Notamacropus eugenii: one gene and its partners. The protein of the gene in region 1 purifies or fractionates together with the protein of each later gene. This does not show direct contact. Links are inferred from orthologs where the notes say so. Each region holds a gene or a part of one and is shown on either strand. Other genes may lie near its edges.

Evidence for each region.
Region 2: the proteins of PHF1 (region 1) and EZH2 purify together in Homo sapiens (affinity purification with mass spectrometry; 15 studies listed by BioGRID and IntAct, with this or other methods). This does not show direct contact. The link is inferred for Notamacropus eugenii from reciprocal best matches to the Homo sapiens genes PHF1 and EZH2.
Region 3: the proteins of PHF1 (region 1) and EED purify together in Homo sapiens (affinity purification with mass spectrometry; 8 studies listed by BioGRID and IntAct, with this or other methods). This does not show direct contact. The link is inferred for Notamacropus eugenii from reciprocal best matches to the Homo sapiens genes PHF1 and EED.
Region 4: the proteins of PHF1 (region 1) and EZH1 purify together in Homo sapiens (affinity purification with mass spectrometry; 5 studies listed by BioGRID and IntAct, with this or other methods). This does not show direct contact. The link is inferred for Notamacropus eugenii from reciprocal best matches to the Homo sapiens genes PHF1 and EZH1.

Annotation. Positions count from the first base shown.
Region 1 is NC_092873.1:89,404,881-89,412,856, reverse strand, and holds the start of PHF1 (PHD finger protein 1), read right to left. Parts: upstream 3,001-7,976; 5' UTR 2,914-3,000; intron 2,539-2,913; exon of another isoform or gene 2,239-2,538; intron 2,130-2,238; exon of another isoform or gene 1,811-2,129; intron 1,408-1,810; 5' UTR 1,393-1,407; coding exon 1,234-1,392; intron 1,099-1,233; coding exon 1,017-1,098; intron 898-1,016; coding exon 802-897; intron 619-801; coding exon 515-618; intron 378-514; coding exon 229-377; intron 42-228; coding exon 1-41. Other genes in the region: kinesin-like protein KIFC1, read right to left, coding at 3,664-3,708, 3,953-4,028, 4,180-4,253, 4,348-4,638, 4,863-5,630, 6,076-6,476, 6,694-6,750, 6,994-7,047 and 2 more. UniProt on the Homo sapiens protein: Polycomb group (PcG) that specifically binds histone H3 trimethylated at 'Lys-36' (H3K36me3) and recruits the PRC2 complex. Involved in DNA damage response and is recruited at double-strand breaks (DSBs).
Region 2 is NC_092874.1:98,220,328-98,227,889, reverse strand, and holds the start of EZH2 (histone-lysine N-methyltransferase EZH2), read right to left. Parts: upstream 3,012-7,562; 5' UTR 2,922-3,011; intron 1-2,921. UniProt on the Homo sapiens protein: Polycomb group (PcG) protein. Catalytic subunit of the PRC2/EED-EZH2 complex, which methylates 'Lys-9' (H3K9me) and 'Lys-27' (H3K27me) of histone H3, leading to transcriptional repression of the affected target gene.
Region 3 is NC_092876.1:115,118,616-115,125,455, forward strand, and holds the start of EED (polycomb protein EED), read right to left. Parts: upstream 3,018-6,840; 5' UTR 2,818-3,017; coding exon 2,704-2,817; intron 1-2,703. UniProt on the Homo sapiens protein: Polycomb group (PcG) protein. Component of the PRC2/EED-EZH2 complex, which methylates 'Lys-9' and 'Lys-27' of histone H3, leading to transcriptional repression of the affected target gene.
Region 4 is NC_092873.1:359,237,967-359,245,834, forward strand, and holds the start of EZH1 (histone-lysine N-methyltransferase EZH1), read right to left. Parts: upstream 3,004-7,868; 5' UTR 2,915-3,003; coding exon 2,911-2,914; intron 2,322-2,910; exon of another isoform or gene 1,713-2,321; intron 1-1,712.

The DNA of each region.
Region 1 (7,976 bases):
ACTGGAGGCAACTCCGACATTGTAGCATCTTTAGGTTCCACCTGAGAGAGAGTACCAGGTGAGGCCTGCAGTTGTTCTGCCTCCACAACCCTATCATCTGCCATCACTTTCATTACTACAACTGGGTTCCCTTCCCCCAAATCTCTCCCTAGCACCTACCTTGACTCACTGGCATCACCCCCCCCTTCAGAAAGCCTCCCCATTCCTTCCCTTCTTTCTGTGACTCACTCCCCAGGGCCCCCGCAGTAACAGTAACTCTGCTGTCGGTTGCTCAGGTGTCCTGCATCCCAGTCCAGGCCCTTCAGTCCATATGGCAAAGACAGCTTCATCCCCAGCATTGCCCGTGCGTAAGGACCTTTCTTCAGGGCACCTCCCCTCTGCAGGGACAAACACATTGAGATAGTTTGGTGGTGAAGAAAGAGAAAAGTTAAGTGACAGCTTGGGGGTAGGGTGGAAGGTCAGTGTATAGAGAGAGGTGAGTGGTATCTACCATGGGGAGGAGTGATTTCGGTACCTTGGTAGCGATGGCAAAGACACACTGCCTGCAGACCCAAGGGGATGGGCCATCTCCTTCTCCAGGGGCTGGGGCTCTTGGAATGTGGCAATCCTGGTGATATGCTGGGGGGTGAGAAGAAGGATCATGGAGGGTTGAGGGTAAAGTATTGGGAAGAATGACTAGGGGGAAGAGGTTCAGGATTATAACAAGAAAAGGGTAAAGAAGGGAAATTATGGAAAAGAAATCATAGACTGTGAAGGTGTGGTTCCCCAATAGGCTGGGAGAGGTCAAATGTCATTCCTTACCATGTCGACATTTCTCACAGCTGACCAGCCGGTTCCCAGGGACCACAGACTCAGATCGACAGACGCAGCACAGGAGCTCTTCTCCAGGGAGGGCAGCTATGAAACAGAAAAGAGAGATAAGGACTGTAAGGCTCTAGCCCCATTATTCTTAAGAGCCAAGCTTCTGTCCCCCAGTCCCTGCTTCTTTTTAGGGACCAAGCTCCCTTGCATCTCACCAGGGCTAATGTCTTTCCATAGAACAAGAAACTGGGAGTCATCTTCAAACTGTACTAGACAGACCTCCCGAGCACTATCCACCTGGGAGAGAGAAAAGGAGGTGAATGCTGAGAAAGGGACATTTGATTTGAGTCAAGAGGATGGAAAGGGAATACTAAAGTTAATGTTTCAGGAGAAAAGTGGGGTTGAGGTTGAGGTCAGAGGTTTAGATCTCACCTTCTTGATAGTTCCCAGGTAAAGGAGTCCATCAGTCCATCTGGCCAGAACATCTTGTCCCTCCCAAAGCCGGGGTCTGGTACCTGGGGAAGGGGCTGGGGGAGTGGGCTCCCAGGGTTGGGGGGCAGCAGAGCGGCTCAGCCGGGAGGGCTGCGCCATTGCATCCTGGGGAGCCTGGTAGGACAAGGGGGGAAGAGTTACCTTCCCCACCCCCAACAGCAATCACCTCTTCCTGCTTGGCTCCCCCAAGGGGACTCAAAATATTCAAGATTCCAGCTTTCTCCTTGCTTCCCCAGTTCGATATCACAAAAGCCCATAGTCTTCTCTTTCAGACCCGCACTGAGGGGGTTTCTAAGATTCGAGGGAGAGGGAGCACAGACACCTGATTCTTAGTCTCCCACCCCCAAGATTCCTCCAGGGATTGGTTCTCTCAGGGAGTTTCTCTCTTGGTTCAAGGATTTTAAGAGGATGATGGATTGGAGAAAGAGGCCTCCCCTTAGGTCCTAGTCCCACCCCTACATCCTGGCTGGCTTCATCTTGGAATTTCCCTGTCCAGAGATGTCAGAGTTCAGACAACCTGCTTTTCGGGGGGAAGGGGGTCCTCAGTAATGAGATTCCCTCCGATCCATGCTGAAGAATCTTCCTATTCCTGGATTATCTTGAGTCCCACTCCAATCTGAGGTTCTCTAACCCAGGGGTGTGGGGGTGGGGCGGATAACTTCCCGTGTAGCTAGGGAGGGGGGCGTGTCCCGGTCCCAATCTCTACTCCCCGAGATGGGGCAAACCTGGAGGTGACGTGAGGCAGCCCCCTTGCAAAAGGGGGTCTCTGCATGCATGTGATTGGAAAGGCTGGGTGGGGGGAGACGAGAGGGTGGAGGGGAGCCAGAGAAGGACCCCTCCCCCACCTAGCGCCAACGCCTCTCCCGGGGGAGGGGGGCTCCCCCGCCTGGCCCCCCCCCCTCCCAGTACTCCTTCGGCCCCCCGCCCTCTCCGCCTCCTCCTTACCGGTGACAGCTGCGGCCGCCGGGGAGCTGGGGAGGGGGAGCCGTGGGGGGGCCGGGGCGGGGGTCGAGATGTCCAGGCGTCCGGGGGAGGGGGCAGACAGAGGCTGGGGGGGTCCCCGGGCCCGGCCCCTCGGTCCCGGCTGCTCTGGGGCGTATGACGCAGCAGCCAAAGCAGCGGCGGCGGCGGCGGCGGCGGCGGCGGCAGCAGCAGGAGGAGGGAGAGGAGGAGGGAGGGAGGGAGGGGAGGGACGGACTGACTGGGGGGGGGAGGCCTGGGAGGGAGGGAGGAGCTGGGGGGAGGGGGGCGGGAACCACCTCACCCCACCCCCTACGCCTCCCGGGCGGGCCACGCGGGGTGGGGTGGGGCCGGGTGCACGCCCTCCTCCCAGGACCCAGGCGCCGAGGCCGACGGGGAATCCCTCCGAGTGGCCCCGGCCCGCCCCCGGCGGCAGGGAATCCCTGCTCGGCTCCCGCCCCGGCCCCGCCCCCGCCGCGGCCTCCGCGCCTCGCGCCACAATCCGAAACTGCCCGGGAGCCGCCCCCACCAGCCCATTCCCGCACCTTTGGCCCCCCCGCGGCCCCTACCCCCCTCCCTCTAATTGCCCACCGGCCCCGCCCCCTTCCCCCCGGTTTTGCCCACCCAGCCTCCCCCGCCAAGGCGCATGCGCGGACCCACCTCCCTCCCCCAGCTTTCCGCTCCGCGCTGGCGCGCGGCACCTGCGGAGCTGGAGCGCCCCCCTCTCCCCGCCGGGCGGGGCCGTCGGGGCTGGCGCAGCGTTCCCTCGCTCTGCTTCCCCAGGCGCAGGAGGGCGGGAGGCGCGGGGCAGTAAGGAAGGAGGAGGGCCGGAGGGGAGCGGTCGGACAATTGCCGGGGCCGGGGGCGTTAACGCAGGCAGAGCCAATGGAAAGGAAACGGGGCGGGGCCCGGGCCGTTTGAATGGGGCGCTCCAGCGGGAGCGGGCGTTGAGTCATGCATCGTCCGAGCGGTCAGCCCGGCCCGCCGCGGCCCAGGCCGGAGCTGCCAGCCCCGAGCGCGCCGCGGACCTTCCGAGTGACGGACAGACGGGGACGGTGCCAAGGGCGGCACCAGGAGATCCCTGGCCAAATCGCTCGGCCCCTTACCCCAGCTTTCCAGAAAGAAACTTCCCGGGAAAGTGGTCGAAGAAAGCCATTTCTTAAGGGCCCTTTGCCTGCATTTCCAAATACATCCCTTCTTGGGCATCAGTTCTTAAAGAACAAGGGGAGGGCAATTCAGCAAAAGTAACCAACACATAAAATCACCGAGAACATGTGCTAAGATAATTTTATTTTGTGATACATGGTTATATTCACCTAGTTATATAAACTCAGTTACCACTCTAATTAAAAATATCCCCTTAAACATACATAAAAACCACATACACGCAGGACACCAAAGATGGCCCTTCTATTTCTTGTTGGCTCGAGCAGTGCCAATAACACACTGGTTTACCTGGGAGAGGAAAAGAAGAGATGCCTGTGTCAGCACCAGAACAATTCCTTTGGGATGGATACAACCCTTCCAGACCTCCTAAGGAAATCTGGAAGCAGGTATCCAGACACTCTAGCCCGGGGAAAGAGGAGAGCTATAGTGAGCCTAACTGGCAAACAGCAAAGGGGGAGGGGCACACCCTCAAAGAGCCAGGGACTGACAGGACAGAAGTGAAAAACAAAGGACCCATGGGAGATGTCTGTACCTTGGAGGCAAATCGCAGGGAGTTGAGGGACTCTGAGAAGTTTTCTTCCAATGGGGAGATATTCACAAACATAAGCCTGGGTGGGAGAAGGGGTTTAGCACAAAGGCAACATTCTCAAGACATTCCTCCGGCCCTGGTTCACACCTGTTAGTGTTGCTTAGAGCCAGTCTGCAAGTTTCTTCCATCCTTAACAAGCTAGTCTATCAGTTCCTATTCTTACTACTCACATTTTGGCACTGCCCCTTAGAGAATTCTGCAGCAGGTACGTGAGTTTGCTGTTCCGGTATGGCACATGCGACTCCTGGGTTGTGGGGGAGATGGAGGTTACAACGGGACAAGGCAGCATTTTAATATCTCAGAACAAACGGCTCGGCTGCAATCTCCCTTGCTCCTACCTTATTGCTCAGGGCCATGATGACAAGGCCCAGTGTAGAGAGGCTGCTGTTGATGGCTTGGGTCTCCTTCAGTCGTTCTCGATCTCCAGGGCCAGTGGACAAGCCAGGATCTAGTCTTTCACTCCCAGCCAGATCTATTAGGTTGAGAGAGGCTGTACAGTGTAAGTTCTGCCCCATGTGCTTCCCTGAAATCTGCAGCTGGAACACACTGTGGCTTCGCGATGACTGCTCGTTTTGTGCTGTTCGAGCCACTGCCCGATTCTGACGAGCCAGATGGAGCAGGGATTCCACCTGAATTGGGAGAGCGAGACTGCCATTGTCAATATCTTCTCAGTGAGCACACATATATTCTTTCCCCAACTCTTGGTTTTTGTAGAACATTCCCCCACTCCCAATACCTTGCACCTAATCTGACAACTTCCCACAGCCCCAAATCTTTCCTATAACCCCCCCACTTCCCAGTCTCCTCTCCTGTCCCTTGATCTTATCCCCTCTCTGTCTACCTCATTCCCTACCTCCTCTTCGCAGGAAACGGGGACATATTGGGCATTGGTGACAATAAGCTCCTTACTTCCAGGGCCAGCCAGTCGAATCTCATACTCAGTCCCCTGGCACTTTTGGGCCCCACCCACACAGGCCAACAGGTCCCTGATGGTTTCATTGTAGATCTCCACATAGCTAGCCACAAAGGTGTAGCTCCAGCCTTGGGCCTCCAGCTTCCGGGCTACTGAAAACAGATGCCTTACAGCTCTTGGGATCAGCCCCTCAACTTGCGGGTCTCCTCCTGGCCCTCCTTCCATCGTGAATGTCTTGCCACTGCCTGTCTGGCCATAGGCAAAGATGCACACAGGGTAACCATCCAGGGCTGACTGCACAAGCAGGGAGACTTCTTCAAACACTTCATTCTGTTTGCTCCCTGGTAGGAACACTCGGTCAAAGGAGAAGTCATAGCGGGCAGGAGCACTTGGTAACCCTCCTATGATGCTACATCGATCATCACTTGGCCGAGTAAGACTGAGTCGAGTGGAAGGCTCAGAGGCTCCATTAGACCCAGGAGGAAAAAGGATGAGGCCAGGAGGTGGTGTGGGCTCTCCAGGTAGAGCAGGGCGGACTCGACAAAAAACCCGAATGTTACCCTTGAGCTCTTGCAGCTGGTTGTGCAGATACCGCCGCTCCATCTCAAGACCATGCAGATGCTCTGTCCTTGTGGCCAACAAGTCTGCCTGGGCTGTGAAATCTGCCTGACTTTTGGCCAGAGCTGCCATTGATTCTTGGAGTTGTGCCTGGCATAGGTCAGAGAGGTAAGAGAGAAAGAGGGGTTAGAAAGTATGGAGGGAAGTATTAAGAGTGGACACTGTGAGAGGGAACAGAGTAACTGGTGAGATGAGAAGGAAGAATGAAGATGGGGTAAGGCACAACAGGAAAGGATATATAGATAGAATGGAAGAAAGGGAACAAGGAGAATATTACAGATGGCAAGAAAGAGGAGAGAAAACGAAATCAAAATCAAGCTACAAGAAACTGCATGAGGCAAGGGAAATTCCTTGAAAGACACAGCTCAAAAGTGAGGGAAGGGGCCTTCAGCTCAGATGAAAACTCTGAGAAGGGAGGACACACTCCAAGACACAAGTAAAAGGGAGAAGGTCAAACATCCCCCAGCGGAGGCTCAGCAAGAATTCCATGTGAACGCACACAGGACGATGCTTTGTCCACCCAAGCGTTACTCACCTCCTGTACCTCTAGCCGAGCAGCCAGATCCCTTCGTTCTTCTTGCAACTGTAACCGCTCTTCTTGCAATGACTGAACTAGGCCCTTCTGAGTATGCAGAAGTGCTTCCAGCTCCTGGACCTGAGCCCTCAACTTCCCCAGCTCCAGCTGGTCTTGCTTAGCTTGGGCCCGAGTCTCCGTCAGATCCCCAATCAACACCTTGTTCTCAGCCTCCAGAGTTTTGGCTTGTTGATCAGCTTGCCCAAACTGGCTCCTGAGTTCCTGGTTCTCCCTGGTTAGAACCTCAGTCTGTACCTGGCAGGCACTGAACTCCTTCCGTAAGTCACACAGTTGTCCCTTCACATCCCAGGCTGGACGCTTGCTAGATCCTTTCCTTGTTTTTGTAGGGGACATTCTTGATACTAGGTATGGGAAAGAGTAGCAAGGCGAATGAAAACTCTAGCTCCTTTCTCTTCTCCTTTCAGTGAGCAACAAACACCATTAACTCCCATTCCCTCCTTTTTATCTCACAGGGGAGACAGAAATGGGCTAATGGTTTTTGTAGAGCACTCAGTACAACTGCTATTCCCTCTGTAAGTGGTACATTGCCTAACCTGAGGGATTAGATTAGCCACTTACCAGGTTTTGGTGCAGAGACAGTAGAGACTGCAGAGACTGGCTTCCTATTCTTCACATCTGTACAAAGATAAGAGATAATAATTTCAATAACATCAATTAATTTGGAGCTGATAGTGACCGACTCTTTCATTTTACAGAGCAAACTATGGTCCAGAGGTTTACCTTGCCAAAGTTCACCTAAGACATAAGCTGCAGAGCTGAGATCAAGCTCAGATTCACAGGCAGCCAAATCCCTCCATCATTCTTCCCTTTCCAACTTGTGCTTGTTTCCCTGAGATCTAGCTACTGATGCCTACTCACCTGTGGTGGCCGTTGTAGTATGCCAAGGTCCTGTTTTTAGGGGAGCCTTCTGGGCTGCGAGGAGATAAGGAAGAAGGTGATAGGGAGCATCCTCAGGGCAGTTTCTATGCAGGAAAGAATATAAGAGCCAGCCTAGGGCTGACCTCTTATTCTGAAGAGATAATATACCCGTTCCTCTCAGACATGTTCATCTCCTATTGCACGTATAACCTAAGACAGAATTACTCTGGTCATGTAATTACATGAAATAGGAAAGATGAAACTCTGGATTCTTTTGTCATCTGTCAAACCTACAGGTATTTTATTTACCTGCTTCCTGTTTTTTTGCCCTGGGCATAGTGGCCACAGTGGAGACCCTGGGACGAGAGATGGCAATAGTTACTGCTGTTCCAGGACCTCGAATCCGCTTCTGAGGAAAGAGAAAGTAAAGTTTTCATGTACAACCTATATCAAATTGTTTACTGTACCATCTCAGAAAGGTGGAGGTGGGAGAGAGAGAGAAAACTTGGAACTCAAAATTAAAAAAAGAAAAGAATGTTGAATATTGTCTTTAACTGTGGAAAAAATAAATATATATATAAAGGATAGTTTTAGAGAACTTTTTCCCACCCACCCCCCTTGGGGCTCCCCACCCTTCTCAACTAATCCAGTTCTCTCTTCTCCCTGCCCAGGCTCTCACATATCTACAGTCCAACTCACCTTCTCCGGCTCAGGGGCATTCTCTTTATCTAGTCTTCTCTTTGTACCACGGCCTAGCATAGGCAATTGAGAAGATGAGGCCTTGTCCGGGGGCATCTTCAATTCCATGTTCCCCTTTTCCATCAGTGATAACTTCTATAAGAAAAAGGAAGCCACTCAGACCTCCTGGTTTCCCTGCCACTCCCACATTTCCTGACCGCCTCACATTTCTATTAACTACCTCCCTTTTGTTATCAGAAGCAAATATCTATTGAAAGCTTACTACACACACAGAACAACGTACT
Region 2 (7,562 bases), on another chromosome or scaffold:
TCTCATTTGTAAAAACAAGCGTAATAATGGCAGCTACTCACAGAGTAAATGATAGTATCATATCATATATGTAAAGTGATTCTTTGCAGACTTCAAGACTCAACTCAAATTCCACCTTCTACAAGAAGCCTTTCCAGTACCCTCTACTGCTTTCCAGCCACACTCTACTGCTTGTGCCTTCCAAGATTATTTCCCATTTACACGGTATATATGATTATATGTACAGTTAGTTGTTTGCATGTTGTCTCCCCACTGGGATGTTATTTCCTTCAGGACAGGGATCATGCTTTCTGCCTTTCTTTGTATCCCCAGAGCTTATCACAATACCAGGCCCAAGTGTTTAATATGTACTTGATGAGTACTTAATATATGCTTGGTGAGTTGACTGTTAATTGAAATTTTTCTAGTAATATAACAATATGTAATGGATCTTAAATCTGTATTTTCATTCCAACTGCAGTCACGAAACAACAGAATTGTCAGAACACTGACCTATTTATATATTCAGAACTGGGACCTCTGGTCTCAAAATATCCAAATGACCATCAAAGAGGTATGACAGACTCATCTGGGCAAATTTGTGACCAAAATTATTAAAGGGATTTTTAAAAAAGGAAATAATTTAAAATGTTTTATCACTCAAATTTAAACATTATTTATTTATTTAAACAGTCTACCTCAACAGTCTAGAGAGAAATCTGTTGTCTTTTTTTTTTCCAATGGCCATCACATAGCAGAATATGATTTAAAATTCTTACTTTAAATTTAACCTGCTTTCCTGCACACACAAATTTGTTTCAAAAGCATATAATGTCTTGAGATATATTCCTTAACATTTTCACATTACATCCCAAAGAACATCACCACACACAAATGGGAAATGTCTTTGATAACTATATATCCAGAAGTCAAACTATAGGAGCAATGAATAGTTAGAATATATATCAAAATAAATACTTGCAAATAAATTAACAACGAAAATGGCTAGGGTTACATATCTGTTCCAGTCTTAGTACAGTTCCCAGCTCATAGTAGGCACTTAAAACGTGTTGACTTGACAAGAATAAAGCATCTAGGCAGATGTTTTTTCCTACACACAAAAACAAGAAAGGATTTGGATTTGCTTTCCATCCTTGTAGGGAAGAATCAAGAAAATCAAAATGCTAAAGAATGGCAATATGGTATAATGGAAAGGGTGTTCAATTTGCCTCAGGAGACACCAGGTTCTGAATCTGACTCAGCCACTTACTATTTTGTGTGACCTTAAACAAGTCAAACTCTCTTAGCCTTGATTTCCTCATGTGTAAAAATAAGAATGTTACACTTGGTAAACTTTTTATGTTCAGAGCTAAATGTTGGTGTCTTAACGGTGTATAATGCAATCGATTATTAAACTAATGTTAACTAAAGTAAAAAGAAGATATACACAAAAAAGTGAGGACAATCTTTAAAACAGTTAAGTAAACGACTCAAAAATATGATAATTAAACATCTTTATTTCATAAGCTTCGTTAACAGACTGTTCAACACACAAGGTTTTATTCCAGTTACTCAAAGGAAGTTTTTAGCCTAACTATGAGGCATTATTCATTCAATTATTTATATACAGAGCCATTTTCACTCCCAATCATTTCTGAATCACTAAAGGGTATTTTTCATGGCAAACAAATTCAATTAAAACAAGAATGCTACTGTGATCTAAAAAGTCACATTTAACCTTGGCATATTCAAATCAAAGAGCTCAAACAAATTTGCCAATATCATTATTTCAACTCCTGGGCATATGGGATGTATATAATAAGTCTTTAGCACCTGCCTCCATTCTCAAATCAGATTGTGAAGTTGAACAAACGGCTTGAAATTTGTAAACGGATTGAAAAGTTGCTTTCAATATTAAGTTTACAGAGTTTTCCAAAAGCTTGTCACCCTGTCCCTGAGCAGAACTCTATCCCAAGTGATAAGTTTTCAGAAACAAAAAGAAGCGAACTTCAACCGAAAGCACTCAATGAGAACAAAAGAGAAGGAAAAACAACTCAACTCTTCCCTCAAACTAAGCATAAGGAATAGACTAGCTTTCTGAAGCCCGGAAAGAGCACGGGAGAGAAACCTAAAAAACGGCCCCAAATCTTTCCCGTGCGAGGGAGAGGAAGGGCTATCCTAAGGCTGGAGGAGAATTCTCCAACGGTGCTCGAAGTTGTTTCCTGTGGGAGAGGACTCGGAGTTCAAGATCTCCCTCGTGCACGCTGTCCCACGCTAAGTGCGGCCAGCGCTGCATGGTCTATAAGCTCCGAGGGGGGAGGGGAAGGGGACCCGGTAGGGACGGGGGCTGGGGAAGGGGAGGAGGGGCGCCCTTTCTCCTAAATTGAGGCCGGCGCCGCCGACCTACACCCCCCAACCCCGCCCGCAGCTGGGGGCCCAACTTGTGCCGCCCCCTCCCACATGCCCGGGCTCTCTCCGTCAGACACAGTCTCTCCTTTGTCTGAGTGCAAGGTCCCACCAAGTTGTGTCCGTCCCGTCACGCCCGGAGCTCTCCCGACGCCCGGCACACAAAGGACACTTGGGGCGGCCGGGACGGGGCCCCGAGCCCCGAACCCGACGGATCAGGCGGAAAAGGAAAAAGGAGAGCGGGTGGTGTGAGGCGGGAACCAAACAAAACACCCCAGCACAGCGACCCAGCGCTCTCCCGGCCGTTTCCCCCCACCCCGGCCACTCCATCCCCTGCGTCTGCGGCCGCCCCGAGCGCGGGCCGCCGACCCCCAGTCCCCCCAGCTTCGGGATCCCTTCCCCCCGGTCATACAAAGAAGGCGCCGGGTGAACCCCTCTCCGGGGCGATACCCGGAGACGAGCAATATCGCCGCCGCCCGTAACTCCTCGGGCTCCTGAGCCCGTCCCGCTAGCCGGAGCCGGCCGGGTGGCTTTACCTTCTTTCCCTCTCCCCAGCCCGCGCCGCTCCCCGCGCGCTGCTCCCGCGCGCCGCCGCCGCCACCGGTCCTCCGCTGCTTTCTCTGTCCCTGTGGGTGTCGGATGCTACCGGACCGAGCGCCAAACCTGACAGCCCAATCGCCATCGCTCTCATTGGCCCCCCCACTACAATCAAGCGCCGCCCCGATTGGAGGGACGAGAGGCAGGCTTCCATCCAATCAGAGGGCCCGCCGAGCTCCCAGGCGCCGGGAAGACCCACAGCCCCACGCATATACTTATCTCCGGACGGTACGCACACATCCACACATACACATATTCTCATATACGCGCACACATACACACACACACTCCCTGAGACGCTGGGGGTTTTTACGTGCGAAACTACCGCCGCCGTCCCTTTGTTCTCTCGTTTTACACGCAGGGTACGGATCGGGAAGGCGAATGGGCCGCGGGGCGAACGCGGCAGGGGGAGGAGGGGAGGAGGGGCCGGCTGGACGAGCCAGGCCGGGAGAGGGGCGGGGAGGAAAGGGGAAGGATCTGGGTGGCGGGCGGGGAAGGACGGAGATGTTGCTCTAATCTTGGCGGGAATAGCCACCTCCGAGCCCCGGCGGGGCAGGGGAGGGGAGAGGAGGGGAGGAGGGGCGTCGGAGGGGCGTCGGAGGGAGGTGTAGTTCAAGGGGCCTTGGCGGCCAAGTTTGAATCAGTTCGAAACTCAAGGCGTGGTAACGGTTTTAACGGCCGCGCTCTTTCTCCTTTCTCTCCCGAGGGGCGGGCTGGGCCAGGCGGGGCCCCGGGCGGGCGGAGGTGAAGTGTCCCCGGGAGACCCCGGGAGTTGGGGCGAGCCCAGGCATCCCGGGGCCTCCGGAGCCCGCCGCCTCGCCTCCGATCGAGTCCGGCCGGAGGCTGCGCTTGACGGCCGCTAGGGGCGGCTCGGCGCCTGGGGCTCTGCCGCTGATTTGCATGCGAGGCGCGCGGCGCTCCCCGCCCGCCCTGGCGGGAGCCGGGCCGACTAATGAGCGCGCTCGCTTGGGGCGGGGAGCGCTGGGGCGCTCGGCCGTTAGGGGCCCTCCCGCCGGCAGGGCCGAGAGCCGGCTGCTCGCTACCTCTGCCGGGCCTCCGGCCGCGGGGCTGCCCTTAGAAAATAAGTGAAAGGCTGTCAGTGACGTTCCCAGCCCCCGGGTTTGAGAGCCTCGGCGGTGTGGTGGCTGCGAGCCCGAGCGCACGTGTCGGCCTCCCAGCCCCGCGGGTGGAGCGCCCACATGCGCTGGGCGGAATGGAGAGCGGCCCCCGCGCGGGCGGTTTGTGAAGCCTTAGTGACCTTAGGAAAACCCGGCTCCACACGCGGGAACAGAAGCCGACCGTACACCGCGTGAATTGCACTTTTTCGGTGGTTTGCTTGGGGTTTTTTTAACCAAGACATTAAGGTAGTTTAAATTAAATTTCTAAAGGGACACGGGCAATTCATTTTTTAGAATGTTTATTGATATGTATGCTGTTTTATACACGTATGTATACATTTATATGTAATTTACATATGTATACATTTAACTCGATAGGAATTGCCCACTTACACTGGGACTAAATATTATAATTGAGAAAACCCCAATGATCAAGTGTATAATAAAGAACTACAAGGATTACGTATAATTTGTTTTTCAGTTTGTAAAGATGACACTTAAATGAATATGGATTCCTATTCACCCCTAAGGGTATAGTAGCATGTCCTATGCATCGCATGGCAATCTATGGCCTGCACAGGGTTCACCCAAGGTTCTAGGCTTCCTCTATATCTTGTGATCGGGATGCCAACAGAAGCTGGGGGCTTTCCATCCGTTATCCCTCATCCTTTGTCACATGACCAGCCCACTTTTTCTAGTGGACCTTTTTGTGTCTTGCACCTCTGATGATATTCTTTCTGGTTGCCTCCTGTTCAAAGATAATACTAGAAAATTCAAATCAGAAGTCTTCATTTAGTGACTTGCCCTGTAATTTCTATGGGACTCATCACCATCATTATTCCCACCCATAACCACATGCAGTCTCCTGTAGGGAGGAGATTTGAAGATTTGGGATTATTGAAATGTACAATGCAATACAGCAAATAGTAACAAATAGGCAATAAATATTAAGTGCCCACTGTGTGCCAAACACAGTCCCTGTTCTCAAGGAACTTATAATCTAATGAAAAAGAAAAGGAAGCTGAGTGGGGAGGTTGAAAAGGTTCAGCGTGGGGCCATGATGGTACAGTAGAATCCAAGCTATGCCACTGGTGGGAAATGAAGAGTTAGGTAGGCTTCTGAGCTCTCTGTAAATGGGGGATTTGGGGCGGGAAATGTTCAGCCCTCCAATCCAACTGAAAGTAATTTAAGGTATTGAGATGTGAGTTCCAAAGCTAATGCAATCTCTATAATGATCAATTACCTGGTGATAAGCTTTTTTTGGAGAGGGGGGGTGTAATAATGATCCAGACAGTGCAACTGGTAGGAAATGAGGAGTTGGCTAGCATTCTGAGCCCTCCACATGGAGACTTGGGAGAACTTTTTTTTTTTTTTGCTCCAGAGTCAAAGGTATTGGCAAAGAGAACAGTATTGGGGTGGGAGTTGTAATCAACGTTTGGTCATGTAAAGGGTATGACAACTGTTTTAAGACTACATAAAGTGAGCATAAAAAATGAGTCTCCGTGCAATTTGTCTTTTAAAATCATGCCTCATGGAATTTGGGTTTGTTTGGTTTTTTGGTCTAGATTTGTGATATTTATATGGAGCATTCCTGGTTTGGGAATTCCCTCCATCCATGATAACTTAAAAGTTTTAGTTACCTGGAACACTGAGAGTTTAAGTGATTAGCCCTTGGTCACACAGCTTGTGTCAGAGGCTAGTTATTTTACTTTCTCAAAGCAAAACATTTCTGTTTCTGGCAATTCACAGTTCCTTTCGTAGCTAAGAAGTTAACAAAGTTAACAAAAGTTAACAAAAACTAGTCATCAATCAGTAAGCACATATGAAGCACCTTCTCTGTGCTAGCTACCATGCTGGGAATAAAGAGATGATAGTAAGACTGTCCCTTCGCAGAGCTTGCATTATCCTGGGGAGATACAACATGCTCACAGATAAATTTAAGATTACAAGCACAATACTCAGGGTAGGGGAAGGGAGTATCTGTAAGAGCCTTGAAAGTAGCTAGATGTTCCAAGAGGCAGAGGTTCTTTAGAGGAAGAGCATCCCTGGTGTGGGGGCCAGCTGGTACAAAATCATGAAGGTGAGAGGTGAAACAAAGTAGTCACTTTGGAAAGAGGTTTAAATTCCAGCAGCATGGAAGGCAATAGGGAGCCTCTGAAACTAGGGGTTGACATGGTCAGACTTGTGTTTTAGGACTCAGTTTGGCAGCTGTTTAGAGAATAGATTGGAGTGGGGAAACTAGTTAGACTTTTGGAATAAACTGTTCAGATAAGAGGCAGTGAGGGCATGCACTAGGATGCTATGGTATGAATGGAGAGAAGGCACCTCTTGCCTAAAGTAACAGCCTAAGTTGAAAGGATGTCGAATAAGAGATCTTTGTAAGATAGATATGTAGGGGGGGAGGGAGTTCCAATTTTTGCTTATATCATTTGTTTTTATATCACCTTCATTTCTCAAACTTTCTTCTCCACCAGCCCACCCCCAGCCTCTCCCAAAGAACTATCCCTTATAACAAAGAATTAGGAAGTCTTTATGGAAATAATTTGAATATAATTAGTATCTAGATCTCTACAGATAGGTGCAAAAGGTAAAAATGTATATATCCAGTACAGAACAGCTTTTATTCCTCATGCAAAGAAACAAAAAACAATGAAATATTGAGTTTAAGTCGACATTGTCACTCTGCTCCCCCTCTCTTACCTACAGGGACCTAAGGTCCATTGTACCATACTTTGGTTTAGGTTCTTCTCAGAAAGAAAACAGATATAGAATTACTAGCAAGGACAACCCCTCAATAGTCCACTGAGTCAGATGCCTTTCACCACATAAACTTATACAGGTCTTATAGTAATACTTTGATAATGGAGAGTCTCCCAAAATAAAAATGAACTTGCAGTTACTAGAAAAGCATCCTTTGCAATAGACTCACACTGTCCAAATCATTCCAGATAACAGCAAAAAGCAAAATTCATTTTTTGCCTTTTTTTGCTCCCATTTATCAAAGCTTTAACTTCTTGTTGATCCCTAGGCTTCAGGGACCACAGGAATCCAATGGTTTCTCCCTATGTTGCTGTTAACTACCAAGAAAATTACATTTTTCTCACAATTCGAAGTAAGTAGAACCAGGAAAGCAATATATAATCATAAACATATTGTAAAGAAAAACAGCTCTAAAAGACAAGAACTGTAATCATTATATTGACCAGTCATGGTTCCAGAAGGCCCATGTTAAATCATGCTTCCCACTACTTAACAGAGGTGATGGACTAAAGGAACAGAAATATATTTTTCAATGTATCCAACATATGGATTTGTTTTGGTTTATATCTATCACAAGGGAAGGATTTTTTTTTCCTTTGGTGGGAAGTTATAGCAGGGGAAAGGAGGGAATAGTGATGGGGTGCCCAAAAAAAGAAAAAAAAAGTGAGCCATACAAAAGAGAATAAAAGAAAGTTGAGAAGA
Region 3 (6,840 bases), on another chromosome or scaffold:
TCTGAATTCAGATTTGCTGATTTTGGGGCCAGTGGTCTATCCACTGTGCCAGTTAGCTGCCCTGAATTAGCAGTAGAGAGAGAGAGAGAGAGAGAGAGAGAGAGAGAGAGAGAGAGAGAGAGAGAGAGAGAGAGAGAGAGACAGAGACAGAGAGAGAGACAGAGAGACAGGAAGAAAGAAAGAGAGAACTGCTTCCCCTTCTACTTCCTGTGAGCTCAAAGGTTTTAAAATGACAAAAAATTCCTTGTGGCTAACTTAGTACACTACTCACAAAATACTCATGGATCTATTACCATATATTCAGACCTTTATTTAAAGTTATCAATAAACATTTACAGTACTGAATATTTCATATAAAACTCCAAATAAGCACTGCCATTTCATTAAATAGATTAGGGCTGGTTTTCCATTAAGGCAACTGTCACCATCAGATTTCTACTGGGATATTTCTATCATACCTTTCCACTATTTCTGGCATTTTTTCTTCTTCTTTAATACTTCAACTCAGAATTGTAAAATTATTTTATTTCTACTCTTCCCTCACTCTTCTATTATTCTTTCCCCTAACCTATCTCCCTAACATATAGCTTTTCTTCCATATATACATCTGTTAGGTTTGATTCCAATACTTATAATAACTTCTTTTAAATTAACTCAGTTGAGAATGTTAACATTGTCCTCTTTAAAAAGATCAGGATAAAGCAAAAAAAAGGTCATTAATCTCTTACTAATTAATCACATGTACAACTGGAATATTTCTTAGTCTAAAATAAAGGTAATTATCTGTAAAACACAAGCTTTGCTCTCTCAGCACAGTAGGACAGAGCAGGGAGTGTAGGACTTGGAAGTAGAGAACTTAAGATCTGAGTCCAAGTTTCGCGATGTAAATTTTTCTGTGATCTTGAGAAGTCATTTAATCTCTTCAGCCTGTTTTTTTCATCTGTAAAATAAGAAAATTGTACTAGATGACCTGGAATCCCCTTTTCAACTCTAAATCTATGATTCTCATTTGTCTGATTATCAAGTACATTATGGTACCAGCAATAGAATCTTAACACCACAAAAATCAGTTGCTTTGAAAAACAAACACTAAAATGATTTTGAGACATATTGTAGATAAACTGAATACAAGAATAGAAAGAGGGCCTATCCTGTGATTTTCCTGCCACAGGTAAATATCCAGCTGAGAAAACTCCATTTACCAAAGCAGGTTGACACAATCACAGAAATTAAGTAACATGCCTAGGGTCACCCAGACAATGTCACAGACCCAGGAATTGAACCAAGGTCTTCTTGGCATTGAGGCTGGCTCTCTATCCCACTATATCATATTGCCTCTGTCATAAGAAGTCTGGAGAACAAATCATTTACCCCCCGATTAAGTTTTGGTGTGCTAATCCAAATGTTAAGTTTTGTGGCTTCTTAGAGACCCCAACCACCTATTTCTTTCAGTGATCCTCTGGAGGTTATAGATTTCTATTACACAGTATTCCTCACTACTCTTATTTAAAAGATTCTTCTTTCTCTTTAGAATGAGGAGTGGAAAGAGGGATGGACCTGGATTTAAATCTCAGTTCTGCCACTTAACATGTATAACCTCAAGCAAATCATTCCCTTCTTCATGGCCTCAGTTTCCTCATCTGTGAAAAGGATTAGATTGGTTGGATTGGATGGATAGATTGGATAGATTGCTGGATTAGATGACCTCCAAGGATCCTTCAAGAAACTAATTTATTAATTTATTTATTTATAAACTAACTTATTAAACACCTAATATGTGCCAGGCACTGTGCTATTTGCTGGGATACAGAAGTAATAATTAAAATCTGTGCTCTCAAGGTGCTTACAATCTAGCTATGTAAGATGTGTCTATCCATGCATGAATGTAAGCATACGCATTATATATGTATGCGTGTATATATATATATACACGAGTAAAAATGGGATGAGGTGAAAGGACAAGCAGCTGGGGAAAGGCGCGGGGGTCCCGCTGGTGCTTCAGAAAAGACTTCAGGTAGGAAGCCGAACTTGAGCTGAGCCTTGGAGGAAGGAGAAGAATTCTAAGCCGTAGAGGTGAGAAGGAGGCACATTCAGGCACCGAAGGTACGTCGGCGCAAAGGCAGAGACAGGAGATGGGAGCACGCGCGGAGAAAGTGAACTACATCCACACTGGAAGGGGCGCGTGGGCAGCGCCCCCAACACCGACTCGCTCTCGGTCTGAAGTTTTCCGAAGAGAGCTGAGCCCTTCTACCACCGTCCCCTCTCCCCGGACGCCCTCGTGGGCCAGCCCTACACTTCGTTGGGCCCCAGTGTGTCCCACTAAAACGCTGGCGCTGGAGGGGGGTAGGTGGAGGGCAAAGCTCCGGGGGGCGCACTACCTGTCAAGCGCACGCCGGGCCCCACGCTCCCCTCCGCGGCACCCGAGAGCCGCACGCCCACGCTACATCACCCCGACCGGCTCCCACCCGGGCACTCCGGGCGCTTCCTCCTGCCGGGGTGGGGGGAGGAGGCGACTGGTGACTCAGGTGAGGTGCCCTCCCCCACGACAGAAATATTCCCAAAGAGCCCAGGGGTGGGGGTCGGACACGTCGTCATCGCCTCCCCACCCGGGGGCTCTCCGCGCTTCCCGACGCCCCCCTTTCCGCGGGATGACACTCGTCCCGCCCGGACGGCGGGGCCACGCCGGCACAGGCGCCCACTCACGTTCTCGTCCCCGGACAGGTCCGGGTTGCTGTTCTCGTCGCTGCTCAGCTTCTGCTTCTTGGCCGCAGGCATGTCGCTTCCCGCCGGCGCTGTCGAGACTTCCCTCTCGGACATGTTCCTGCGCCTGCCCCCGGACTCCTGTCGTCGCGGCCGCGGCCTCCGCCACACCGCCGTCAAGCAAGCCCGGCCCGCGCCGGCCGCAAAGCCGCCGCCGCCGCCTCCTCCACCACTGCCGCCTCCTCCGGCCCCCCCACCGTCGCAAACCGCGCCCAGCCGCCGAGGCGGGCGGGCGTGCGGCCCCGCCACACTGCTGAAAAAGGGGCGCGCGCTTGCGCGCGCCCGCCCGCGCGGCCTCCGCTTCCCCTCCCCTCGCGGCTCCCCCCGCCCCTCCGCGGCTCACCCCACTACCCCCACCAACTCCCCCGTCGCCCGCCCGGCTCCGTTCACGCGAAAGGGCGTCGTGGGTCCGCGGGCTTTCAAGAGCTCTTTCCCGCGTGTCCCTCCAGACCCTGGTCTTTCTGCCCCGTTCCTCACCACCACCTCGAAAATGAGTGGCGGGAATGGAAGGGACTCTCCCTCAACCCTTCCGCCTCCCAAAGCCGTTTAAGCAGCAATTGGCCGAAACCCTGGATCCCCTGACGGGTTTCAGGGGACTGAGAGCCGCCGGAATGGACCAGACCATTGGGCCGCCAACGGCGGGGAAGGAGACGAAGAGATGCCTCTCTTCCTGGGAAATGAGGCGAGGGGTCGCAGTCGTGCCTTCGGCACTGAAGTCGTCATATCATTGAGTGTCGAAGGACTATGGCAACCTAACTCCAGATGCTGGAATGGAAGTAAATAACTGGAGGTATTGATACTTTAGGATCCTCCGCCGAAAAAAATGGAAGTTACCTATGAAGGAGCACGCATGCGCGAGGATGTCGTATGATACTGTCTCCGCAGTTGGACTGAGCCCCGCCCATCCCCGCTGGCCCCGCCCTAAAGCTAGTAGCTCCACCTCCTCCTAAACTGCACTGGTTTAGCGAGAGGTGTAGTGATCGTTACCCTGCTGAAGTTGTATCTGGAAAGCACTGGCGCTCCTTGCTGCAGCCTTAGGGAAATCTGCAGGCTCTTATTTGCTTCCTTTCTTTTTGCCTGCTATCACTTGTTTCTTTCATAGTTACCGTTCAAAGAGCTTCACCGGACAGAGCGCTGGGACCGGAGTCCAAAAGACCTGAATTCAAATCCAGCCTCAGACACCTCCCAGCTGTGTGATCCCCGGGCAAGTCGCTTCACCGCTGTGTGCCTCGGTTTCCTCAGCTCTAAAGTGGGGATAATAATAGCACCTGCCTCCCAGGGTGCTTGTAATTGTACAGTGGTGCTGTATAAATACTTATATTAATTATGCTTAGCATGGTACCTGATGGTCTGGAGATAAGAGTCCCTTCTGGAGGCATCAGGAAAACTCACTTTCCTGAGTCGAATCTGGCCTCTGACACCTAACAGCTGTGTAAGACACTTAACCCTGTTTGCCTCAGTATCCTCATTCTTAAAAAGAACTAGAGAAGGAAATGGCAAATTACTCCAGTATCTTTGCAAAGAAAACTCCAAATGGGGCCATGAAAAGTCCAACGACTGAACAACAAAATTGGTTCCTGGCACCATAGTAAGCTCTTACTAAATGCCAATTTCCTTCCTTCCTGATCTGACCCCCAAACCCCTTTTCGAACCTTATTGCATAGATTTCCCTTCCCACAACAAATACTACTAGGTTTGACCAAACTGGCCTTCTTACCCATTCTTTCTTTATATATACCATCCTGCTTTTTTGTTTGTTTGTTTTTGGGGGTAGGGGTGACTTTGAGACTGACTGTTCTCTATGGTTGAAATGCATCCCCTTCTCATCTCCATGTCTTAGAATCACTAGTGTTATTCAAAACTCAGCTCAAGTGCTATTTTCTATGTGAAAATATTCCTTATTCTTTCCCTGCCCCTTGTATCCAATCCTATTGTACTTTGCATCAATTTAGTAATTTTATATCTATATATTACTTCCCCCAACCATACTGTAAGCTTTTGGAGGATAAAGACTGCTTTACTTCATTTTTTGTATCCCTAGGATGTATGTAGTACAGTACTTGTTCCTATTAAGCATATAGAAAATGCTTAATAAATGTTTGTTTATTGATTGAAATGATTACTGCGTTTTCCTTCACCAGTAAAAGCCCTTCAAATCTAGAATGTTACTGTACTTCCTTCTCCCTCTTCAAAACCCTCCCTGAGTCCAGGCTCTCAACTAAGGCCCCATTCTCTCCTTTACATCTCAAAACCTCTTGATGTCATCCCTCAGTCTCTTATACTTTAATTTAGTCTGTAATAATGATGTTACCCTTACACAAGTCCAGTCCCTTTTCCAAATCTCTAGTACTTTGCCCATCTCAACCAATTCTTTTTTTCCCTCTGTACTTCCCTCCATCTCTCCCTTTTTCTGTTTCTCTCTCTCTCTCTCTCTCTTCTTCTTCTTCTTCTTCCTCTCCCTCTCCCTCCATCTTCAGGTTCCTTCTCTGATGCCAACAACCCATGCATGTACCTGTATCACCTTCATCCAGAAAAAGCTTTCCCTAGATGCTACCATTCATTCCTTTAAGCTATCATTTTGATCTCTTTTTCAGCCAAACTCCTAGATTAAAAGCTGTCTATACACACTGCCTTCACTTCCTTTCCTTTCATTCATTCCTCAACCCTTTACAATCTGGTTTCTGACTTCATCACTCAACTGAAGCTGCTCCCTCCAAATTTGCCAAAGTTGCCAAACCTTATGAACTTTTCTCAGTCCCCATCCTTCTTGACCTCTCTGTAGCACTCAACATTTTTGAATACTCTCTCCTCTTGTATACCCTCTCTTCTCTGGATTTCCATGACACTTTTTTTCTTGGTTTTCCTGTCTCTCTGGCTGTTCCTTTTCAGCCTCCTTTGCCGGCTTCTCATCCATATGGCATCCCCCTCCTTCCCTTCTCCCCCTACCCCAGACACCTGTGTTCCTACAAGCTGTCTTGGGCCTTCTCTTTAAAATACATTTTCATTTGATGACCTCATCCTTTGCCATGGGTTTAATGATCATCTCTATGCAAATGACTCTGAGATGTTTATACTTAAATTCAATCTCTCTCTCAAGCTCCAGTCTCACATCCCCATCTGCTTATTGGACATTACAAACTGGATGTCTCAGAGCGATATCTTAGACTCAACATAAGCAAAATCTTCCCTACCATCCCTATCCTGCTTCCTTGTTTCTCTGCCTCTTCTAAGCTTTTACAGCATCTTGCTTTAATCTTTTTACATATTGCCACGTATGAAAGTTATTTTTGAACATGTCTTATCTGTCCTTTGTTTGTAGAGCTCTGACAGGTACCCTGATTAAAAACAATTGATTGAGTTTGTCAAGTGCAGAGTCCTCTGAAGGAAAATAATGGTCCCAGTCTTGATCAGAGAAATTAAAGGAAGACCTCGCAGTTTCAAGGCAGAATTCATATGAGTACGTAATCCAAAGGGCAGGTCAAGAAGCTGAAAAGAGTTTGTATCAACATTTTCAAAGCAGAAAAATCAGTGAGGAATATATAAAGTTTTGTACATAGGTTTTGATTTGGAAGATTTGAAAGAAATTATCTAGTCCAACCCTCCCCTCCTCCATTTTGAAGTAAAGAAACTTAGGCTTACAAAGGTGATATGATTTGCCAAAGACTACTCAGTCATTAGGCAGATATTTGAACTCCTGTCTTCAGATCCCAGATCTAACAGCCTTTCCACTTACCAGGGTATTGTACTACTCTTGAAAAAGATAACGGGCTGATCCTAAGGCATTAGCAGAAGATTGTTGGTGGACAGCCCCTGTACTGTACTGTTATCCTGGTGATATTAGGAGAAAGAGAGGAAGCCATGCACTCCACACGCCCAGTAGGTTTAGGTGGACACCCTGTGGCAAAGGCTATAGCCAAGGAGCTCACAATCTAATGGGGGAGACATCAAGTAAACAGCCAAAAACAAAAAAAAGGCTACATACAGGATAAATTTAAAATAATCAACCGAGGGGCAGCATTAGAATTAAGATAGGGATAGGTTTTCAGTAAAAGGTGAAACTTTTAGTTGGGACTTGAAGGA
Region 4 (7,868 bases), about 270 Mb from region 1:
GTCTGGCCCCTTTACTTAAGATGAGAATAGCAAGGGCTGGCTCCCCTACACCATTCATAAAGGTGTCTAGCACAGGTTTTGACAATAACAAGATTACATTTCTGTACACAGCACATTCCTGGATGTTAAGAGCCTCCCCTCCAAACATAAATACATCTTCCCACGTGTAAGGACTCCCTCTAGTGCCACCACCATAATCTCTCCAGGGTTTAAAATGGGAAGAATTCTTACAAAGGCCTAAGATCACAGTATTCAAAAGGATTAGAAAACTGATAGAGAATCTTTCCCTTTATCATCTGAAGCCCTGAAAAAATATAACTATTCATCAGCAAGGACAGACTCCCTAAACAAATCTAGGGATGGGGACATACCATTACAATCAATTACCGTAGACCCTGAGTTCTCTGAGGAAGGGGCTCACCTACCCTTCCACTTTAATAAACATTAGGTTCCTGTTCTGCACAATGCAATGTGCTAGTTGCTGGAAATGTACGTATCCGTATCACCTCAAGACACACTAGTACAACAGCTTTCTGGTAGGTTTTGCTGTCTCAAGTTCCTCCACATTACAACTCATCCTCCAAGCAGCCGCCAAAATGATTTTTCTCAAAGTGTATGTTTGACCATGTAACCACCCCTCTCCCCCCAATAAAATCCTCTATTTGGCACTTAAAGCCCTTCACAATCTGGTCCCTTTCTATTTTGCCAGTTTTTGTTTTTTTTTTTAACTCTGCTCTTCTCCAAGCATTCTGGAATTCAGCTACATTGGCCTATTTGCTATTCCTTAAAGACAACAGGCCACCTCCAAATCTGTGCCTCCTTGTCCATGGAAGAAGCTCCATGTCTGGAATGCTCTCCCTCCTCATCTCTGTCTCTTGACTTCCTTCAAAATTCAACTCAAATACCATCTTCTTCAGGAAATCTTTCTGGGACCTCAGTATCTTCCTTCTGGGATTACCTTGCAGTTACAGTGTATATATATCTTCTATGTCAATAATTACTACCTGATGCTAAGGACCCTGTTATAACTTTTCTTTGTATCTCCAAAGATACACAGTGCCAACTCACAATAGGCACTTAATATGTTTACTGACTATAAAGAAAAAAGCAAAACAGTCCTGCTCTCAGTCAACATTCTAGTAAGGGATACAATATATACTCAACATAATTTAAAGAAGGAAAGAATCATAATTTGGGGAGATCAGGTAAGGTTTCTACATAGGCTATGCAACCTCATATGGTTGCATATGAAGGAAGGAAGATGATGCTTCCGAGAGACACAGTATAGGACCAATCAATATCCAGGAACTGGGAACAGTTTGTGGGAATACACAATAGCAGAAGATGAAATGTTGAGTTTGAGAAGCAGGTAAAAATAGCCCAATTTGTCTCTAATGTAGAGTAGATGAAATGTGGTTGGAAAAGTAGACAAGTCAGATAGTAGTCGCTATTAAACATAAGGTTTAAGGGTGTACATTTTATCCAAGAGGTATCGGGAACATTTTTGAGCAGAATGATCTGTTCTTTAGGATGATTATATTGATAGCTGTGCAGAGGAAAGATACTAGCCTGAGAATTATTCAAGGTCCTCCCCTACTTATTTATTTACATGTTGTATGCCTTATATAATAGAAGCTTCTTGAGAACAAGAATTGTTTTTCATTTAATGTCTTTGTATCTTCAATGCCTAGAAGAGTGCTTTGTATACTTACGCGTAGGTGTAGGTGACAGGAAAGATCCACACCTATAATTTCATTTGCAGTTATTATTTCATTTGTACAGTCAAGTCACACAATACAAAAGATCCTTCCACCAATGTAAATCTGCTACTCTTCCGGATACAAAGTTGTTGTACTAGTGTCTTGAGGTGATAAGGATATGTAGATTGCCAGTAACTAGCATATTGCCTTGTGCATAACAGGATGACCCAGCCAGCAAACTGTCAGAGGCAGGGCTTCTCCAAGCCTTTCTGACACCAAGGCTGCTGCTCTATATGCCAAACTGCTTCTCACCTGGCACAGAGCACGTAAAATTTGTTGAGCGAGACCGGTTAAGCTAGAGGACTGGCTCTGCGATCAGGAAAACCTGAGTTTAAATCTGGCCCCAGCTGTATGACCCTGGGCAAACCACTTAATAATGGGGATAATAACAGCGCCTAACTCCCAGGATCCTGGCGAGAGATAAGCAGGACCAACAATCAGGTGGTCGTCATTCAAACGGAGAGAAAGGGGTTCGTACACTCACACAAACCCTTTAAGAATTTCAGGCCGACTTTCATTCAAAGCCTAAACATGTACGTCCATTCCCAGCATACGCTCTTTTACTGTTACGCACCCCAACCTGCAGAGTGGAATGCCCCTCAGAGAAAACTGCCTTATCCCCTAAAAGAACCCCGTTTCCCCATACACCCCACTTTTCCCCTCTCGCTCGCTGTACAGGGATTTTCTCCTAAAGTTACCCCCTCCCTGCCAAACCCACGGCAACCCTCCCAGACGCCACCCCCCTCCCAAGGGGATGCCCTGGGGCTGTAACACCTCCGCGCACCTGGCGCGCCCCGCCCATCCCCCTCCGTGAACTCTCCACACCTCTCCTCCGTCCTCCTCAGACCTCTCCTCCCCCTCCCACCTCGCGCGGCCCCGCCTCCCCTGGCCCATCCCCCACGGGGGGGTGCTCCCAGACGGCAGACACCTCCTCCTCTCGAGCCCAAGGGAATTTTCCCCTTCCCACCCGCGCGATCTTCCTTCCTCCCTCACAGCCCGGAACCAGGGGCCTCCCCACAAACGCGGTCAGGCAGGCTGCCCCCCTCTTCCCACGTCCCTACCCCCTCTTCACCCCCGACCCCTCGGTCCCATCCGACAAGCTCCCCCCCATGCAGAGTCCCGCTCCCCGGCCCGGGACTTGTTTACTCACTCATCTTCCATCCTAGGCTGGCGAACCCAGTGGTCAGGACGCATGCGTCCTACTAGCCTCCTCGCCCCGCCCCCTGCGCAGCCCTCCTTCCTGCGCTTGCTCAGGATCGTCTGCGCCTGCGCATGCGGGGCTGGTTGCGCTGGCCTCTTTTTGGGCGCGGGCGTTCCTCGTCGCGTGCTCATTTTGTGCTTACGAACCTCGGGTGTCTGGCGCGGGCGCGTGAGCCCCACTCTCGCCTTGAGAGGCTGGACCGCCGGAAGCAGGATGGGCAGGTCCTGCCGGGTACGAAGGTGTGCCCCGTAGCCGAGACCCGCTTTCACCCAGTACACGAGATATGATAGTAGCATGTGCGCTCTTGAGAGCAGGGACGGGCTTCTTCCTTTTCTGTGCTTTGCATGCAGTAAGAGCTTCATAAATGCTCCAGGGCAGATATGACTAGAGGGTCCCACTTGGGTAGAGGGGCCCCTTGTGGGGAGGCCAGGGGTTATCCAAGGCGACCCTTGTGTGTGGTTGGAAAGACATTACCCATCTCTACCGTTTACTCCCCACCCCACCCCTTCTCCAAGGGAGATTTTCATTACTGCTAGAAGGGGAAGCCGGAGGTTGGGACCGACCACCGGCCACCCCTCTGCTCTCCTCAGGGAGAGGGAGTCATGGGGGGGAGGGTAGTCCCCAGGCTGACGACCCCTTGCTCAGCTAATACCAATTCCATACAATGAACACATATAGCAAATGGCAAAAAAAAAATTCCATTTATCCCAATCAGTATCAAAACAAATTAGAGAAGGTATATATGGGAAAATAAATACCAGACAATACAAAATGAGGGAGCTGTTCCATTAGGAGAAAAATAACTCAGCTCAACCGAGAAAGAATCCTGAATCCCACCCAAGGAAAACTTCCCCTGAAGTCTCTAGAGTAGCAAGCTGAGAACAGGGACATAATGGAGAAAAAGAACTCCTCTCATGTCTTCCCAGAATCTTTTCCTTCAGCAACCTGATGTGGGGCTGGTTTCTTCCACAGCTGGAAGGCAGCTCAGCCTGACTTTCCATTGAAGAAGGGGAACTGCTGCTTGAAGAGTTTCCCAAATGGGAGTCTTGCCTGGAAAGTCCTAAAAAGGATTCAAAGGGGACTTTCTTGTGGAGAGTCCCAAAAAGGGACTGTCTGGGAACTCAAGGTCTTGCCTCTCTTCAGCTTTGTCCTGCCCTTCATGAAGTGCAGGGTCCTTGTCTCTACCAATAAGGAGATAGTTCCATACCAACCAGCTTTGGGACAGGGGTTAAATTTCATTCATTCATCCATGCATTCGTTCAAGTCCTTCTTTAACACATTCACTATGTACTTCATCTCATGCCTCTTGTAAGCTCTTTATAATGGAGCTCTTATCAAAGACTTGAAGACCTGAATCCAAATCTTTCCCTTGGCTGTATGACCCCGTAGAAATCATTAAACCTCTCAGTGCTCAGGGGCCGCTAGGTGGTGCAGTGGATAAAGCAGGAGCAGGAGTTCAAATCTCACCTCAGGCACTTTATGTTCACTAGCTGTGTGACATTAAGCAAGTCACTTAACCCCAACTACCTCATCCTGGGTCATCTCCAGTCATCCTGGTGAATATCTGGTGACTGGATTCAGATAGCTCTGGAGGAGAAGTGAGGCTGGTGACCTGCACAGCCCTCCCTCACTCAAAACAAAGTCAAGTGCAAGTCATATCATTATTTCTCTGATGGCATGGTCTTCTTCAGCAATGAAGGACGAACACACACATGACCCTGCAGAAATCATTAAACCTCTCAGTTCTCAGGGCAATTCTCTATATTGACTATAAATTGCAGAAAGACTATATACATACATATATATATAATTCCATATATTATAACATATAGACTTCTATATGTTATGCATATGAATACATAGAATTCTAGATATAAGACTATAAATTGCAGAAAATGTGCTGATCTGCATTGATGGATGATGTTTCCTACCCCAGAGTTCCTATGCCAATAAAATCACAAGTTCAGTCCATATCCATACCTCCACTAAAGCAGTTGTCTATGCATCATTAACCTATTACTGTTTCTAGTATCACAGCAGCTACAAATATTTACATGCTTACAGCAAGAGCTTTCTTTCTAAAAACCATCCTGAATAGGTCTGTCAAATTAATCTTCCTAAAGAATGATTTCACATTCATGCTCAGTAAAAATGGAAACAGTCCCCAATAGATAAATAGTCAAAGGATATGAACAGGCAGTTTTCAGATGAAGAATTTAAAGCTATCCATTACCATATGAAAAAAAATGTTTTAAATCACTATTGATTAGAGAGATGCAAATCAAAACAACTCTGAAGTACCACATCACACCTATCAGATTGGCTAACATGACAAAACAGGATAAATGTTGGAGATGTGGGAAAATTGAAACACTAATGCATTGTTGGTGGAGATGTGAATTAATCCAACTGTTCTGGAGAACAGTTTGGAACTATGCCCAAAGGGCTTAAAGCTATGCATACTCTTTGACCCAGCAGTACCACTTCTAGGTCTGTATCCCAAAGAGATCATAAAAATGGGGAAAGGATCCACATGTACAAAAATATTTATAGCAGCTCTTTTTGTGGTGGCCAAGAGTTGGAAATGGAGAGAATGCACATCAATTGGAGAATGTCTGAACAAGTTGTGGTATATGAATGTAACGGAATACTATTGTGCTATGGGAAATCATGAGCAGGCAGACTTGAGAAAAACCTGAAAAGACATATGAATTGATACTGAGTGAAGTGAGCAGAATCAGGAGAACACTGTTATACAGTAACAGTCACATTGTGTGATAATTGACTTTGATAGATCTGGGTCTTCTCAACAATACGTGGATCTAAGACAACTCCAAAAGACTCATGATAGAAAATGTTGTCTACATCCAGAGAAAGAACTCTGGAGTCTGCATGCAGATTGAAGCATACTATTTACTCTCTCTCTTTTTTGTTGTTGTTATTTTATTTTGTTTCTTCTTTCTCATGGTTCCTCCCATTGGTTCTTATTCTTCTTTAAAACATGACTAATGTGAAAATTAAAAATTAAAAAAAATCAGCTCTCATGGATTTAATAACCACTTCTATATTAATAATTCTTAATCTATCCCAACCTCTTTGCTGACCTCCAGTCTCAAATCTCCAACTGCTTTTCAGACATTTCCAACTATATGTCCAGTAGACATCTTAAACTCAACATGTCCAAAACCAAACTCATTATCTTTTCCCCTTAAACTCTTCCTCCTCCTACCTTCCCCAGCCTCCCAATCCTTCAGGCTCACAATCTAGGAGTCATTCTGGACTCCTCATTGACTTTCACCACACCCACACCCCATATCCAAACTGTTGCCAAGATTTCTTGATTTCACATTTGCAACATGTCCCCAGTATACCCCCGTGTCTCCTCTGACACCATCATCAACTAGTACAGAACCTTCGCACCTCTTGTCTGGGCTATTGCAACAGCCTGCTGATGGGTTTTCCTGACTCAAGTCTCTCCCCATTCCAGTTCATCCTCCATTTGACCACTAAAGCTCAGTTACCACCATGTTGCCACCTTTACTCAATAGACTGTAGTGGCTCCCTTTTACCTCCAAGGTCACATACAAGATTCTCTGTTTGTCATACAAAGCCTTTCAAAACCTAGCCCCCTCCTACCTTTTCAGTATTCTTAGACTTTATTCCCCAGCAGATACCCTATGGCCCATTGACACTGGCCTCTTGTTCCATGAGCAAGACACACAATCTCTCTGCTATGGGCATTTTCTCTGGCTATCCTCCATGCCTGGAATGTTCTCTCTCCATTTCTCTTTCTGCTTTCCCTGGCTTCCTTTAAGTCCCAATTAAAATCTCATTTACAGGAAATTTCCCAACTACTCTTAATTCTAGTGACTTCACTATGTTAACCATTTCTGATTTATCCTATATATAGTTTGTTTGTATATGTTTGATTGTTCTCTTCCCTACACCCCCTTAAACTGTGAAATCTTAGAAGGGAAGTGTTTAGCACAGTGTCTGATATAAAGGAGATGGCTAATAAATGCTTATTGATTGATAAAGTGGAGCTCTGCCTTTATGAGATTGCATGCCATCTTGGGGAGGAGGGAAGGAAGGGAGAAGGAGAAAATTTAAAACTCAAAAATTTATGGAAGTGAATGTTGAAAACTAAAATAAAAAAAGGAAATGAAAAAATATAAAGTGGAGCTCTAACCAGTATTCAAAAACTCCAAAAAACTCCCTAAAATGAAGTCTAAACTTCTTTGAAAAGCATAGAAAGTTTTCCACGGTTTAACCCAATTTATTGACCTTATTTCCCCTTATCTATTGCTGAACACTATGCTGCCTTTCCTGTTCACACTATTCTCACTCTCCACCCCCCTCCCCACAAAAGGCAATAGACCTTTTCTTCCTTCTTCATTTATCAAAATCTTCATCCATCCTTTGAAGCTCAGCTCAAATGGTACCAAAGAAACTGTTCCTTGTTGTCCCATCCAAAAGCAATTTCTCCCTCCTTGGAACTTGTGGTTCATCACATTCTTTACACATCACATTCTTTACACATTCTTTAATGAATAAAAAAATGTGTAAATGTGTAAAACATTTACATTATTGCAGTTATTTCTTCCCTTGTTAGATCAAAGCTCCTTGAGAACAGACACCTCTCATCATCTTTCTATTCTTCAGTGAACCTAGGACAGTAGTTGGCATGTTTATTAAATGAATGAATTTACTGTCTTAGAGGATAGTTACAAGTATATATTAAAACTTCTCCGGGGGTGGGGGCAGAGCCAAGATGGCGGAGTAGAAAGACGCATATACACATAGCTCCGAACCCACAACCCATAGAACATCGGTAAAAAGGAACTCATGGCGAATTCTGGAGTAGTAGAGGCCACAGCACAGTGGAGCAAAGGAGATTTCTGTTCCAG